Linked DNA regions of Oryctolagus cuniculus. The protein of the gene in region 1 interacts with the protein of each later gene in a biochemical or structural test. Links are inferred from orthologs where the notes say so. Each region holds a gene or a part of one and is shown on either strand. Other genes may lie near its edges.

Evidence for each region. The genes of interacting proteins can lie anywhere in the genome.
Region 2: the proteins of PDZK1 (region 1) and SDK2 interact in a test that uses a peptide from one of them, tested with the Homo sapiens proteins (2 studies listed by IntAct, with this or other methods). The link is inferred for Oryctolagus cuniculus from reciprocal best matches to the Homo sapiens genes PDZK1 and SDK2.
Region 3: the proteins of PDZK1 (region 1) and ABCC4 form a complex in vitro, tested with the Homo sapiens proteins (2 studies listed by BioGRID and IntAct, with this or other methods). The link is inferred for Oryctolagus cuniculus from reciprocal best matches to the Homo sapiens genes PDZK1 and ABCC4.

What each region holds. Positions count from the first base shown.
Region 1 is NC_091438.1:49,215,703-49,220,984, forward strand, and holds part of PDZK1 (Na(+)/H(+) exchange regulatory cofactor NHE-RF3), read left to right. Parts: intron 1-1,867; coding exon 1,868-2,004; intron 2,005-4,136; coding exon 4,137-4,332; intron 4,333-5,282. UniProt on the Homo sapiens protein: A scaffold protein that connects plasma membrane proteins and regulatory components, regulating their surface expression in epithelial cells apical domains.
Region 2 is NC_091448.1:6,644,196-6,649,477, reverse strand, and holds part of SDK2 (protein sidekick-2), read right to left. Parts: intron 4,467-5,282; coding exon 4,271-4,466; intron 4,081-4,270; coding exon 3,982-4,080; intron 3,594-3,981; coding exon 3,402-3,593; intron 1,777-3,401; coding exon 1,655-1,776; intron 684-1,654; coding exon 574-683; intron 469-573; coding exon 318-468; intron 1-317.
Region 3 is NC_091440.1:17,214,740-17,220,021, reverse strand, and holds part of ABCC4 (ATP-binding cassette sub-family C member 4), read right to left. Parts: intron 5,282-5,282; coding exon 5,156-5,281; intron 3,614-5,155; coding exon 3,364-3,613; intron 1-3,363. UniProt on the Homo sapiens protein: ATP-dependent transporter of the ATP-binding cassette (ABC) family that actively extrudes physiological compounds and xenobiotics from cells.

The DNA.
Region 1 (5,282 bases):
GGGGGGAGCGGTGCACGGCCTTCCAGCAGGGACACGTTGCTCTGGTTAGTGACTAATTTTCAGCTGCTGTAAAGCCTCGTAGGACCGTCATGTCTCTCCCTTTCTACCTGCCCCCTCTTACCTGTACAATTGCACAGGGGATGGGTGGGGTTGGGGAGAGGGACACTGGGCACGCCTCTCTCCTAGTGTCCTTTAGGCTGACCCTTCGAGGCCAGAGGTCTTTGTCATTCTTTTCTTGCTTCCTTAGGGTGAAGGTGCAGGGGACGATGGGAGATGAGAAGCAAGGGGTTCTTCATAACAGAACTTTTGAGTGGGAACCGTACTTTTCATCTCTGAGTGTCCGGATGGTCACTCACTCATTCAACAAATTCGTGAGCATCCATTGATGTATGTGATGCTGTTGTAAGTTGCTAAGGAGATGGCAAAAAAATCTGCACCCTTTGGTGACATTTAGAGTCCTCAGTGTGGCCCCGTCCCGCCTGCCCTGAGGTGTACCCCGACCTCTAGCTGAGAGCTGTGTCGTGCTGGGAGAGCCTGGCTGTCCAGATGTATTTTAGGGCCTATGTCTGCAACTTCAGAAGCGCAGACAGACCTGGGACGTGGGCTGCAGGCAGAGGAGCCGCATTGGCTGATGGGTTCCATCTTCTACAGTGCCTGTGTCCGCCTTCCTTGTAGCACTGGAGAGGCACTAGTGACTTACCGTAATTCACTAAGGGATAAAGGAGGAAAGCAGCAGGAAATTTTTGAATTGTTTGAAAGAGATGTAAACTAGCTGGGAGGCGTTTCTCTAGTCCATTGGTCATTAAACACAGTGATGTAGGTGGCCAAGGGAAGCCTGGCATTTCGTAGAAGTCCACGATCGATAGAATGGTGAAAAAGAAGCATTTGTGTTCTCATCTGGCTCTGGTGCGAAGGTGTAGTTTAGCCTGGCTTTATGAAGAAAACGTTTTCTTCATGACAATTGTATAATGTAGCCAAAGAAATTTAAAGGTTAAGGAAGCAGACTTCAAGTTCTTTCAAGTAAAAATAAATCAAAAAAAAAAAAAAAAGTTACAGAGAGAGGAGAGAGAGAGAGAGAGGTCTTTCATCCGATGGTTCACTCCCCAGTTGGCTGCAATGGCTGGAGCTGTGCCAATCCGAAGCCAGGAACCAGGAGCTTCTTCCAGGTCTCCCATATGGGTGCAAGGGCCCAAGGACTTTGGGCCATCTACCACTTTCCCAGGCCACAGCAGAGAGCTGGACAGAAAGTGGAGCAGCGAGGTCTCGAACCGGCACCCATATGGGATGCTGGCGCTTCAGGCCAGGACGTTAACCTGCTGTGCCACAGCGCTGGCCCCTCAAGTTATTATTTCTTACAACTGATTTGTGTTATGAGGCTACTTCTCGTCTAGCTGAAATAGGAGCATCTTGGAAGAACTGGCAAGCACTTCTAGCACTCAAATCGCACCACCTAAATGCATGCTTTTCTCCCCTTCCATCCCTCTGTCCTTGCATTAGCGAGTTTTATCGACTCCGCTGGTATGTGGTCAGTGATGGCGCCAAAGATGAGGGAATGGAGCCTTTATAAGTCTACAAAGGCAAAGAATGACAGCAGGATCCAGCATGGGCGTGGTTTGGTGCTTTCAGGTTCAAGAGGCCAATGATATCAGGGATTCCTTCTTTGCATCTAGCTGGGCTCAGAAATTCTGTTCTGATCAACGGATACCCATGGGTAATGGCTGTGTCAAGCTTTGCCCTAGGAGCTACAGCTGTGACTCTAGATCACAAGCCAAGGGCTGTTTGTTAGCTCTAAGATGAGAAGTTCTGTTTTCACATTATTGGGACTTCGAGTTTTCTCTGCAATGGAATTCATCCTCTTCTCCTCCAGGTAAAAAGGGCGTGTACATGACTGATATCATCCCTCAAAGCGTGGCTATGAAGGCTGGCATCCTGGCTGATGACCACTTGATTGAAGTGAACGGAGAGAATGTAGAAGATGCCAGTCACGAGGAGGTGGTTGAAAAGGTGGGCCCCACGGGGGACTTCTCTTACCTTCCTTTGATTCTACCCTCACTGGAAGGGATGGAAAGACAGGGTTGGTAGGGGCCAGCTAAACTTGTGGGCCAGTGGGGTTGCCCTACTGTGTGAATATACTCACTAGTGTCGTAGCCATGTTAATATGGTGTTTTGAAATAAACCCTTTGCTAGTTTCACATCAAGAGGCCTATCTTTATCTTGTGGATCTTACTGAGGCAGTAGTCCCACTTTATCTGTAGTTTTGCTTTCCCTCATTTCAGTTACCTGTGGTCGATTGTGGTCTGAAAACATTGAATGGAAAATTCCAGAATGTTTTAAATAACTTTTATATAATTGCCTACTTGTAATATGTGTTTATCTCGTACTATGTATAACTTATGAATTAAACTTTATCACCACAGGTATGTATGGATGTATATGAAGAAAACTATATATATAGGTTTCTGTACTATTGGGATTTCAGGCATCTGTGGGATACTTTGGGGAACACATTCACCTCTGATAATGGGGAGTAGCTGTATTCACCATGCTGGTTACCTTCTAGTTCCTAGTAAAACATTTTAGTATCATCTCAACACTGAATTTATTAATAAAATCAGAGGCCATTAGAACAACTATAACAATGTACTATAATAAAATGTTTTGGGCTTTGGGACCATTAAGTAAAAGAAGGGTTCCTTGAACACAAGTACTTTGATGCTATGAGAACTGATTTAATAAATGAGGTGGCTACCAAGTGGTGGTTGAGTGGGTAGTCCCACAGCGTGGGTTTGCAGGACAAAGGGATGATTCATGTCCCAGGCAGGATGGAGTGGGATGGCATAAGATTTCATTATGTTATGCAGAATGCATGTCACTTAAAACTTATGCATTGAGGTGGGTGTTGGACACTGTGGTTAGTTAAGTCTCTGCTTGCGAAGTCCACGTCCTATATTGGGAGACCTGGATTTGAATCCCAGTTCTGCTTCTGATTCCAGCCTCCCGTAAATGTATACCCTGGGAGGCAGCAGATGGTGGGTCAAGTAGCTGGGTCCCTGCCACCCACGCGGAAGACCTGGATTGAGTCCCGACTCCTGGCTTTAGCCTGGGCCAGCCCTGGATGTTGCGGGCATTTGGAGAGGGTGTGAAGTGGTTGATGGAAGCTCTCGCTCTGCCTCCCTTTCAAATTAAATGAAAAGTTAAAAGAGAGGATAGTGCTTACTAAAACAACAACAACAACAACAAAAAACAAACAAACCCTTATGAGTAGTTTATTTCTGGAATTTCAATACTTAGCATTTTCAGGCCATGGTTGATCATGGGTCGTGAAACCACAGACAAGGAGGGGCTGCCACGTGGAGGGGCTACCACGTGGAGCTACAGATGGAAGATGCTGGACAGGCCTCACTCCAAATCGAATGTCCCAGCCTGGTCCCATGACACGTGGAAAACACTTGGTTTTGTGGGGGGTATCATATGGAGCCTTAAAAATGAATCAACCTCTTCTCTTGGTAGAATGATCTTTCTTTTCCCAAACTCCTGTTCCAGGCTTTGTTTATGCACCTTTCTGGGTTTTCTGGTTTGCCAGGTTTCAGGCAGCATCTGTGTGGGTGAGGGCACACTCAACAAAGGGAGAAACAACTATAGGAGTAGAGGTAGATACAAACCAGCTAAAGGGTAGGAAATAGTCTTTTTTTAAAATTTTTTTTAAGTGATTTATTTATTTGAAAGGTAGTTAGGCAGAGGCACAGAGACAGTTCTTCCATCTACTGGTTCACTCCCCGATTGGCAGCGATGGGCGGAGCTGCGCCAATCTGAAGCCAGGAGCTTCTTCTGGGTCTCCCGTGCGGGTGCAGCAGCCCAAGGACTTGGGTCATCTTCTACTGCTTTCCCAGGCCAGAGCAGAGAGCTGGATCAGAAGCAGCCGAGACTAGAACTGGTGCCCATACGAGATGCGGGCACTTCAGGCAGCGGCTTTACCCACTACGCCACAGCGCCAGCCCCAAGAAATAGTCTTGAACAGCTTAAATGCAAGACTTGATTTCATGTTTCTGTTGAGTGCGTCTCCATGGCAATTCTCTTGTTCCCCAGCATCATCCTTGGGGGCTAATGTTGTCCCTCGTCTGTGTGTGTGGTTGCAGGTGAAGAAGTCGGGAAACCGTATCATGTTCCTTCTGGTAGACAAAGAAACTGAGAAACGGCACAGCGAGCAGAAGATAGAGTTCAGGAGAGAAGCGGCCAGTTTGAAGCTGCTGCCCCACCAGCCCCGCATTGTGGAGATGAAGAAGGGAAGCAGTGGCTATGGTTTCTATCTGAAGGCAGGCCCAGAACAGAGAGGTAAGGCGCTAGAAGAGGAGCCCCAAACTTGGCAGTGTAACCAACTAGTTCTTCATCCCAACCTGACCGCAGCGATCTGCTAGGCCCCCAGCTCCCTTCCAGATACATGACGGGGCCTAGCAAGAAACTAGGAAGCACAGCTGGCTTGGTTTCTCCATCACATAGTGGGGCCTGACTTTGGGCCTCTCAAAATGTCCATAGGTGGGTGCTAAGGCAGAATTTGGGAAATGGGGGTAAGCGTGCTGGTAAATTGACTTTCTGGGGGAAAGTCCTGATGTGTGATGCTTATTGACTTTCGTGTTGTAAATACTCCCCTCTCGCTGCGTCTGATTTCAAGCTACCAACATGCTGTCACTGAACACAGAATTGAGGTGTTGCCCGATACTGGCTCCTGTGAGCTGGTGTGAGTGTGCTAGCCCCAGCACGCCCCTGGATCTGCGACAGAAGTGCGGGTCAGGGTCTGGGACTCAAACATGGCCGGAAAGTAGTCTTTCTGCTTCCTTGTAACTAAAAACAAAAGAACCAAGACCCTTTCTGGGAAGGCAAATATGTAATAGACTGCAGGTCAGACCATATGAGCTGGTATTCAGCTAGAAGTTTTTTTCTATCTATGCTTTATATCAATTCATCAGATATTAATTTTGTTCATATTATATAAAAACACACTCAAGGTCTTAGAAGTGAATAAAGCAAAAATTCTTCAGTCAAGGGGCCTACTATTTAGTACAGGAGATAAGACACGTATGTCCATAACTGAAGACAGATAAGTACCTTCATGGGGGGGGGGCAGATAAAGTACCGAGGGAGCTGAGGTTGGAGCAGACTTTTCCTACCAGTAAGGTACTGGAAGGCTGCATGGTTGAGGTCACACTTGAACTTGTGCTTTTGTAGTCTGGATCAATTTGGCAAAGCAGATGGAGCCAGGACAAGCAAGGACATTCCAGGAAGGT
Region 2 (5,282 bases), on another chromosome or scaffold:
CGATCCAGCTCCCTGCTAATGCACTTGGGGAAGCAGCAGAAGATGACCCAAGTGCTTGGGCCCCTGCGCCCACGTGGGAGACCGGAAGAAGCTCCTGGTTCCTGGCTCCTGGCTTCCACCTGGTCCAGCCCTGGCTGTTGCAGCCATTTGGGGAATAAACCAGTGGATGGAAGATCTCTCTCTCTCTCTCTGCATTTCAAATAAATACATTTTCCAAAAAAAGAGTGGCGAGCTGTCGGCATTCCGAGGCAGGCCCTCCCTGGGGCACTGAGAGCTCTGTGGGGTGGTGAGGGTCAAGGTCCCCCCTGGAGCCTCACCATCCAGCGGAGCCACAGGCTGGTCTCACTGGCCGTGCGCAGCGTCACGTTGGCCGGGGCCATGTCAGGGGGCGCCTGGAGGGTCTGGATCTTTCTAGAAGGCTGGCTGGGTGGGCTTGTGCCCACGATGTTCACCTGGCGCATGCGGAAGCTGGGGGCGGGGGGAGAGGATGATGAGGGACGGTGAGGGCAGGACTTGGGGCCATGCCCCCCCCCCGGTCTGGGCAGCACCCCCACCCCGGCTGTGTCTGGTTACCTGTAGTAGGTGAAGGGGTTCAGGTCGGGCACCTCCATGGAGCGGGCGTCGGGCTCGTTGGCAAGCTGGTGGATCAGCAGCCACTCCTCTCCCTCTCCGATCACGCCCACCTGGAAAAGGGAGGGACCCTTGGACCTGAGCCCCAGCTCCGGGGAGACGCCAGCCCTTCCACAGGGGTCCGGGTTCAACTCCCAGGACTCCTGCAAAGCACCAAAGGGGTCCCCATCCTTCAGGGCCCTTGACCTTGACCTTGGCTCCAGTGAGACTCGGAGACCTCCTGTTTAGAACCGAATGGACGCTGGTTACACCTGCAGTCCCAGGTCCGACCCTAGACCCAGCCCATCTGAATCCTGGGGGTGGTGCCACGTGGCTGGGCTTGTCACGAGTTCCTCATAAACATTTGGGGTGTGGCTAAGGATCCCCGCTGGCACCCAAATCAGCCAACCATGCATCAGGACTGCGGGGGGTGGGATGCAGGTCAAAGGTGCAGGCAAAACTGAGAACCGGTGGCTTAGAGGGGCTGCGGCCAGCAGCCAGGTTCTAGGCCAGCTGCTCAGCACCTGGGCCAGGGAGGGATGAGGGAGGAGTGGGGAGCTCACAGGCTCAGGTGAGGTGCGGGTGTGGGCATCTGGGACATGTGGATGGTTCCCAGCTCACAATGGCCTGACTGAAGGATGTCGGATGAGGCTGTGAAATCGACATGCACTCGTATTTGCCACTTTTTTTGAATTTTAACATTTTTCCTGGCTCTTAATTCCTAATATGATACTTTGTTGAGATACCTGGCTGTAGGTTGATGTAAACAAGCATTCTGAGCGGGGTTAAGGTAGGCGGGGCTAAGCTGTCATGTCTGGCAGGTGTTTTAACTGTGTTTTCCACTTAAGATATTTTCAACTTACGATGGGTTTGTCAAGACATAAACTCCGTGTAGGCGGACACGCACCTGTATTAGGCCACTGAGGGTTGTGCGTGAAAATTCACGCAGACCGATACACACTACACGGTGGAGAGCTGGGGGCTGCCCGAGGCCAGGAGAGGGGGCACTGCCTGTCCCGTGGGGCCACCCTTCAGCAGGCCTTACCTGGGCCTCCACCAGCCAGCGGGAGATGGAGGTTTTCCCATCGTAGCCTGGCCTGAACTGCAAGGTCACAGAGCGGGGGCCGATGTTGGAAATGCCCAGATTGGTGGGGGCCCCTGGCAGCTCTGGAAAATAAGAGGATAAGGTGGGAGGTCAGGGGACAATGTGTCCCCACCTGGAGCAGGAGGTCAGGAGGAAGTGTCCCCTCCTGGAATAGGCATTGTGGGCACAGAGGGGACTTTTCCTAGACTTGTCCTTGGAGAAGCAAGGTCAAGGCCTCCCTCTTGTCCCCCCAACAAAATCTGTGTTCCTGCGCCTGACAGAGCACCTGTGCATACACCAGGAGCCCGAGAGATCTGGGGGCTCAAGGCACCCTGCAGGGCCAGGGACGGCTCCCAGGGCCAAGCAACAGGGGCCGCAGATGCAGGGGGCTTCCTTGGGGGCTGGTGGGGACCTGCTGGGACGCTCCTGACGAAGGCTGAGCCAGCCCAATGTGGCTCCGCAGAACCAAGCGGGATCAATCCTCCCTTCCAGAGGCCCGGCCCCCACGCCGCTCCCCAGCCTGGGGTTGGGGTGGGGTGGGGACGGGGGCAGCTGGAGTTTTCCCACCAGGAACCTGAGGCTCCTAAAGTCAAGTTTGGGTTGCCAGTTTGGGTTCCAGCTGCTCCACTTCTAATCCAGCTCGCTGCTAACGTGCCTGGGAAAGCAGTGGAAGATATCTCAATCTTGCCTGGGCCCCTGCACCCACACAGGAGAACAGAAAAAGCTGCTGGCTTTGGCATGGCCCAGCCCTAGCTGTTGTGTGGCCATTTGGGGGCGTAAACCAGTGCATAGAGGCTCTCTCTCTTTCTCTGTGTCTCTCCTTCTTTTTCTGTAACTCTGCCTTTCAAATAAGTCAATAAATTCCCCCCCCCCAAAAAAAAGAGAGAGAGAGATATAAAGAATTTTGGCTTATTCCCCAAATTCCTAGGGCTGGACCAGGATAAAGTCATGAGCCTGGGACTCAATCCTGGTCTCCCATGTGAGTGACAGGGACCCAAGTACTCGGGCCATCACCTGTTGCCTCCCAGGGGGAGCCTAAGGAGGAAGCCGGAATTGGAGGTGGAATATGGGAATTCCACGTGGCAGCTAACTGGTGCACCAAGCACCTGCTCCTGAACTTGAGTTTTATTCCATTTTCTACCACCTCTCTGAAGTCCCCTTGTGCCTATCAACGTCACTCTTTATGGCTGTGGTGCACGGGCCAGGTTCAGGCCCTCAAGGACAGGGAGGAGGGATGCTGGCCACATGGTCACCTAGCCCAACTCCCCGTGGACACGGGTGGGGAAATGGAGACAGGGTGACAGCCTCGTCTTGCTCGGGGGCACAGAGCTGGGCAGGTACAGTGCTGGGATCAGACCCCGGCTCCCTCTCTGTGTCTGGCCCAAGACTGCTCCTGCCACCTGCTGCCACCTCCCTGAGCGACCCATTTGGACTTCCGGTACCAGTGAGCATTGTTCCAGATACCACGGGAGGCTGTGGTGGACCGGGGTGGGGGAGGGAGGGGACGCTGAGATGCGATGGGGCTGGGGGAGGAAGCTGCAGTGAGCCCACCGAGTCTTCGCCCAGAGACCTGGAGTCGTGGGGAGGACCCGGGGCCAGCGAGGGCCCGAAGGGTAGAAAGCCAACATCCCTGACCACAAGGCCTCAGCCACAGGCTGCTGAGGGGCACAGCAGAGGCCAGCAGTCCTGTGCTGAGAGCGGCACCCACCTGGAGGCACCCCCGAGGAGATGGTGGAGGCGGACACCTGGCCCTGGCCCTTGGCAGTCATGGCAGCCACCTCGATGGTGTAGGTGGTGAGCGCGGTGAGGCCCGTGACGCGGTACTCCAGGGTCACGTTGGGCAGGTAGTGGGTCACGCGGGTGTTGGTTCGGTTGTATTCCTCCCAGGAGATCCGGTACCCTGGGGAGAACACCCCAGCAGTGGAGTGAGCTTGGCTGGGACCATGAGTTAGCCTTGACCCTCGCCCTACTTCTCACTTTTTCACTTGGTCAACAGAGTCACAAAGGCCGGGGGAGGTGTGGGGGGGTCACTGCTGAAGCCGGGGCCACAGGCGTCACCTCCATGGGACACCGACTTGGTGTGGGGAGTGCAGGGGAGAGCCAGGCACCCTGGCCGGAGACCATGGGATGTGGCACAGAGCAGAGGGGCTGCAGGCCTCCCCAGTGCCGTGTGCTAGAACGAGGGGGCTGGCCGGGGGGTTGCATGGCACTAAATGAAGACAGGGGGATGGGCCAGCTGACGCACCTGTCCCCGTCCCACCCTGGTGCAGGGACACCGCGACACCTACCTGTGAGGATGCCATTCTTCTCTCCTGGCTCCTGCCAGCTGACCTTTAGCGAGGTGTCCAGGATGTCACTGAAGCTCAGGTGTCCCACAGGGCCGGGCACTGTACCCCAAAAGGACCCCCCACCCCACCCGATGCCAGTTAAAGCCTCAGAGAAAGAGAGAGAGAGACCACCGTCTGCAAGGCAGCCCACGGCCACCCAGGGATGCCCGGGCCCAGGAGCCAAGACCAGGGCCGCCTCTGCCTGCAGCGCCGGCCAGCCGGCCGTGGGTGGGGGCTGGGCGATGCCTACCATCCTCGTGGGTGCGCACCAGCTGGGGGGTGCTGCGGGGCCCGTCTCCGGGGGTGGTGAAACACAGCACGGAGGTGAAGTAGTCAGTGAACTTCTTCAGGCCGGACACGAAGCCCATGTGGATGCTGTCTTGAAAGTTGGGCCGGACGGTCACCATGGTAACCTCCTCTTCCTGCTCCGGCTCCCAGGCGATCAGCTGGGGGAGAAGCCAGTGAGAATGTTCCAGAAGAGGCCAAGCTGTTTCCTACAGGCTCCTCCCAGAGAAGGGAGAGGCAGGGCAGGCGACACACAGTCCCTCCTGGTGACCCTTCCATGTAAGAACGGTGCTGGGTGCATCCCATGAGCCAGCGCTTACCAAACTCTTCTCACAGAGACCCGGGGAGGGAGGCATTTTAGTAGGACCAGCTACAAAGTTGCAGGTCCATGCAAACTGGAAATAGAAGGCCTTTCTCTTTGTTCAACAGCTGTTCAGAATGTCAAGGGGTGAGCCTCTGACCCCGTGGTTAGGAGGCCCACGTCCCACTTGGGGTCAAGTGCCAGCTCTGCCTCCCGACCCCAGCATCCCGATAACATGCACCCTGGGAGGCAGCAGTGATGGCTCATGGGAGATCTGGACCGAGATCCCGGCTCCTGGCTTCAACCCCGGCCAGGGGGCTGGTGCAGGCATTCGGGGAAGGAACCAGCTGATGCGGAGTTCTCTCTCTGTCTCTCAAAGTTAAAATAAAAAATAAAACCAAGATACTAGCAGTGGAGCGTCTAACCAGGCTCAGGGCCCTGCCAAGTACAGGGTCCTAGACGACGCCACAGGCTGTACGCTCATTAGGCTGGCCCTGTATCTCAGGGAGGAGTTAACGGAGGCTTAGAGAGGCTGAGTGATTACTCCACGCCACACAGCTAAGGGGAAGACGAGGTTCTCAGAGTTGGGCCCTGAGGCGTGCACACCTGTCTCTGTACCGGCTGGGTGGCCTCGCCTGGAGTTCTCCCAGGGTCACTTCCTATGGGGCCAGGAAGT
Region 3 (5,282 bases), on another chromosome or scaffold:
CGGCCCAATGAGAGAGAGCCCAGCTATCTTCACAGCTGGGAGCCAGGCAAGCAAGTCATTGCCAATGCCAGGCCGGGCCAGGCACAGCCCTAATCGTTAAGACAGCTGGGCTGGAGACACACAGAGTAGGAAGAGAAAGGCCCATCCGTCCCCACTCTAGACAAGGCCTTGCTCCCCTCCCGTGGGTCAGCCAAGATTCTCCAAAACGCAGTGTTCCAGGAATGCCCAACTCAAATCTGCTCCTCCACTTGGCATTTCTCTGGCTTCTGGTACAGGCTGGGCCACCCTGGGTCCCTGCCTACTCCTGGGACTGTGGCTTCCATCAGCCCAGTACTGAGTGCCCACTGCATGTCCAGAGAGGCTGGGCTAGGTGGCACCTGCCTGTGCAGCAGAATAAAAGCACAGCAAAGGCCATGGGAGAGGAGCAGAGCGCTCAGCAGGGTGTGCTTAAACCCGGGACAGAAGAGAAGGCACCTGGCAGGGCCAAAGGTAGGAGCCAAAGACCCCGGATTGGGGTGCATGTGGGGTACAGCAAAACCTAGAGTGTTAAAATTTGAGTTTGCAGGAAAAAAGGAACCTATGGAGGTTTGGGGAATCAGATTAGATGATGACAACAATTATTCCACATGTTAGAAGGTACTAAGAAGGCAACGTAGGTTAGGAAACCAGGGCTCAGGGCAGAGTCCTCACTCGATCTTGTACAAGCTATGTGACAAGGGACACTATTTAACCTATTAAGGGAACCTGCAGAGGGGACATTAGTGCACCAGTAAGCCTTAGATTATCATCAGAATGAAACAACAACAAAAGTAAAGGTTTGCAAGGACCCCTGACCCCAGTACAAGGGTACTTCCAAAAACTCAAGGAAAATAGAATTAAAAGATAAGATTACTTCAGTACCAAAAAAAGGATCTGCAATCAGTGAATATGGGATGTTCAAAAAGTTCATGGAAATGCATGTTATGAATAAAATTATGCCTGGATATCAAACATTTTCTGCACCGAAGTAAATTTTTAATTCTGTGTTCTGTGAACTTTGTGAGGTTTGTGCACTGATGAGCACACACACACATGGACACGCACGCACACACACACACACACACCAGCAATGAAAGTGAGCAGCATAATAGTGACAACAGTAGTAACAGAATTACAACAGCACAACACACAGCAAGCCACCCTCTAGGAGAGGCACAGTGTGCATTTAAAATGACACTATCGTCAAAATATTTTCCTCAATGTTTTCTTTAAAAAAAAAAAAAAAGCTATTCCAATGCATGGACCACGCCTTAACCATGCTGGGTTAAGCCACGGTCACAAAAAATAACTTCAGGGGCTGGCACTGTGGTGTAACAGGTTAAAGAATGGTGCCTAACCTATACGGGCACCAGCTTGAGTCCTGGCTGCACGACTTCCTGTGGGGAGCAACTCGGACTAGACTGAGTTACTGGAATTAAGACTTATTCTATGCATCTGCTCTCCCACAATATGGCGCTGGGAGAGAAGAAAACAGCTTCTACACAGCTGCCTCCAGTTCAGCCAATAAACTGTAGGACTTGCTCCTGATTGGAGGAGAGCAGCGTACTCGGCGTGTGGGCAGCAGAGTTGGGATTGGCAGAGGAGGACTATAAAGGAGGAGAGAGACGGCATGCACCAGGAACATCTAAGGGGAACATCTAAGGGGAACATCTGAAGGAACACCTGTGCAGCCCCCGAGAGAGCCGGCCGGCGGTGTGCTGCTCCCCTGCGGAAGTGGGGAATGTGGCCAGGGGGAACCGCCCTTCCACGGAGGTGGAGGGACAGTAGCCAACCCGGGAAGAACCAGCAGCAAACCCAGGGAGGGCCGAGCAGACAAAAGAACAGCGCAGGGTCCTGTGTCGTTCCTCCACGAAGAGGGGGAGCGACAACTTCCGATCCAGCTCCTAGGCTAATGTGCCTAGGACAGTGGCTGAAGATGGCTCAAGTGCTTGGGTCCCTGAACCTTCATGGTAGACACAGAAGAAGCTCCTGGTTCCTGGCTTCAGCCTGGCCAACCCCAGCCTTTGTGACCATTTGGGGAGTGAACCAGTGAATAGAAGATCTCTCTATCTGTCTTTCCTTTTCTCTCTCTCTCTATGTGACTCTGCCTTTCAAATAAATAAATAAACCTTGAAAGAAAGAAAAGAAATAATACTCCAGGGCACCAGAACTGACCCTATGTGACTCATCAGTTTCATGCATACTATTTTTTTTATGACCTTGTGTTAAAAACTGATCTTTGTTTATGATGGGGCACTGTGTTCACAGGAGATCTTTGCTGGGCTTGGATCATGGCTGAGCAAAAACAAGTAGATCTGTTTAAAGCTCAGACAAGCAAGGCCCTCGCAAGGAACCGATTCATTCTCACTTTAGACCCATTCAGCAGTACCAATACGTGAGCACCTATTATGAGCCAGGCCCTTTATCTTAGTTATGTAAGTTATTTGCCCCTAGCAATTTAGGGACAGCTGCTTAGCAAAAGTGAAAAGGCTTGTAAAATACTGGTTCAACCACAGTAAGAGAAAGGAAAAAAGAGAACAGGAAAGAACAGGCAGGGATCCAAAGGCATAGCCAGAAATCAACAGGTAAAGCAACTGTGGAGGAAAGACCCGATTTTAAAACGTTTAATTAATTTTCAGGCAGAGAGAGAGAAAGACACATCTTTCATTGACTGGAGCACTCCCCAAATGCCTGTAACACTCAGGGTTGAGCCAGGCTGGAGCCAGGAGCTCAGAACTCTGTTTTGGTCTCCCATCTTGGTCTGCCCAAGCACCTGAGCCATCTGTCACCTGCTGCCGCCCAAAGAGCACTAAAAGGAAGCCAGACCGGAAGTACCTGGGACTTGGAAGGGCACTGATATGGGATGTAGGCATCCTAAGTGGTGGTTCAACCGGCTGCACCACAATGCCAGCACCAAGCACCTGCTTTTCAACAAGGGTCATTAGGTGAGGTTCAGGCCACTCTGCCTCCCCAAGCAGCAGGGCTATTTGGCAAGCTCTTCTCTTCCCAGTACAAAGAGGGACCCACTCCTCCTACCTACTCATTGGAGCTGGCACAGGAGACGGAATCTGTTTGCTTCCCTGTTCCTAGCATTTCATCACACCCCCATTATCACTGACACAGACAACCCCCCGGTCACCGTCACATTGCTGTCCACATGTGATCACAGTGTGTGCTGTTTCCTGCCCACCCTCCCTATGAGAAGTAGGGAAGTCATTCCTACGTCTGGAATAACTGCATGCTTTGGGGCTGATAGAGTTCAGCTCCCCTTAACTGGGACCCAAGAACCCAAAGCAATAGGAATAAGGAGCCACCCACACCCTTCACCATCATTCTCTACCAAACCTTGATTCTCCGGATGCTGACAATCGACTCTGACACTCTCTCGATCGCTGCCGGGAAGAAGAGGGTGACGGTCAGCCGCACGGCGCCGTACAGCGTCACGGCCACAAACACACGGCTGGCTGTGATGACGTTGCCCAGGAGCACATAGACTGTGAAGGTCACGAACACGATGATTTTGCTTGCAACGAAAAATGAGGCCAAATTCATCCCTCTGAGGTAGGAACTGCTCAGGATCTTGGAAATTTCCTTCCTGCAACGGACAACGGACAGGAGCTTTGCAGGAAATGTCCACGTCAAGCTCACGACCCCAAGCGCCTTTTGCATGTGGCTCTGTTCTAGGGTGGGGGCCACAGATTAAGACAAACTGCTTCTCACACGGTGAAAAATTCAGTGCTTATCCAATATTTTTATGCGCAGTGGTTGAAATGTGCAATGCCATGGGATTACATTTTGAGTCTATCAGACTGGGCTTGAACAAGCGTTCGAATGACTCACTCAACAAGCATTTGTAAACTTAAGCCTTGTGCCAAGTGCCTCTGTGGTGCCAGAAAGATGAGGGAGACACAGCCTGTCCCCTCCAGGTGCTTCGTGAACTCATGAGAGGAGAGAAAAGCAACCTGAGAATCGTGAGACCCCCAAGACCCTAGACAGAAGGTGCAGCAAGCATGGCGCCTTTGGGAGCAGGCAAAGGCAGTGGGTAACTCCACGTGGTGCAGAGGGCCACGTGCTTGGCAGAGCCAGAGAAGAATGAAGGCAACAGGGTTCCCAAACATAGGGAGGGGCCTGTAAAGGTGCAAAGATGAGGGTGCCAGGTATCATGTGTTGAGGTGTGAAAGGTAATCAAATATTTCAATCAAAAGACAAAAAAATTTTTCCAAAGATAGGGAATAACAAAGAGGAATACTGATTCCATGGCTGTTTGGCTCAATACAGGCTCACCCCATCTCTGTAATCTCCCCATCAACATCAATTACAGCTTCATTTCAAAGGTCATACCCTCAGTATTAACAGAACCACTGCTTATTCAGAAACACTTGGAATTTCATTTTCACTATTAGTCAGATTCACGTACATTTTTTGCCTTAAGAAAAGGGAAGCGCAGGGGCCAGCGCTATAGCGCAGTGGGTTAATGCCCTGGCCTGAAGCGCAGGCATCCCATATGGGCACCAGTTCTAGACCTGGCTGCTCCTCTTCTGATCCAGCTCTCTGCTATGGTCTGGGAAAGCAGTAGAAGATGGCCAAGGTCCTTGGGCCCCTGCATCCACATGGGGAACCTGGAAGAAGCTCCTGGCTCCTGGCCTGGGATTGGCATAGCTCTGGTCATTGTGTCCAATTGGGGAATGAACCACTGGATGGAAGACCTGCCTGTCTCTCTCTCTCTCTCTCTGCCTCTCCTCTCTGTGTAACTCTCACTTTCAAATAAATAAATAAATCTTTAAAAAGGAGAGGAGAGGAGAGGAGAGGGGAGGGGAGGGGAGGGGAGGGGAGGGGAGGGGAGGGGAGGGGAGGGGAGGGGAGAGGAGAGGAGAGGAGAGGAGAGGAGAGGAGAGGAGAGGAGAGGAGAGGAGAGGAGAGGAGAGGAGAGGAGAGGAGAGGAAAACGAAAAGGGAAGCCCAGGTTAAAATGGTGTCCTAGGCCATTCTACTAAACCTACTGCCACATGCAGGAGGTGGGCATGCACAGCGTTCAAGTTCACCCCCATGTGAAATCATAGCGAGATTTCTCAAACCAATTCAGGACCAAATGGTAAGAGGCACAGCGCACAAACACCGCCCGCTCAGCACAGACCTACCTTCTCAGACTGGCGATGAGCTCCGCAAACGACTTCTCCCAGGCATACATTTTTATTATCCTTATGCCAGTTATAACCTCATTCATGGTCCTGATCCTGGCGTCAGTGAACGCTGCCGTTTTACTCC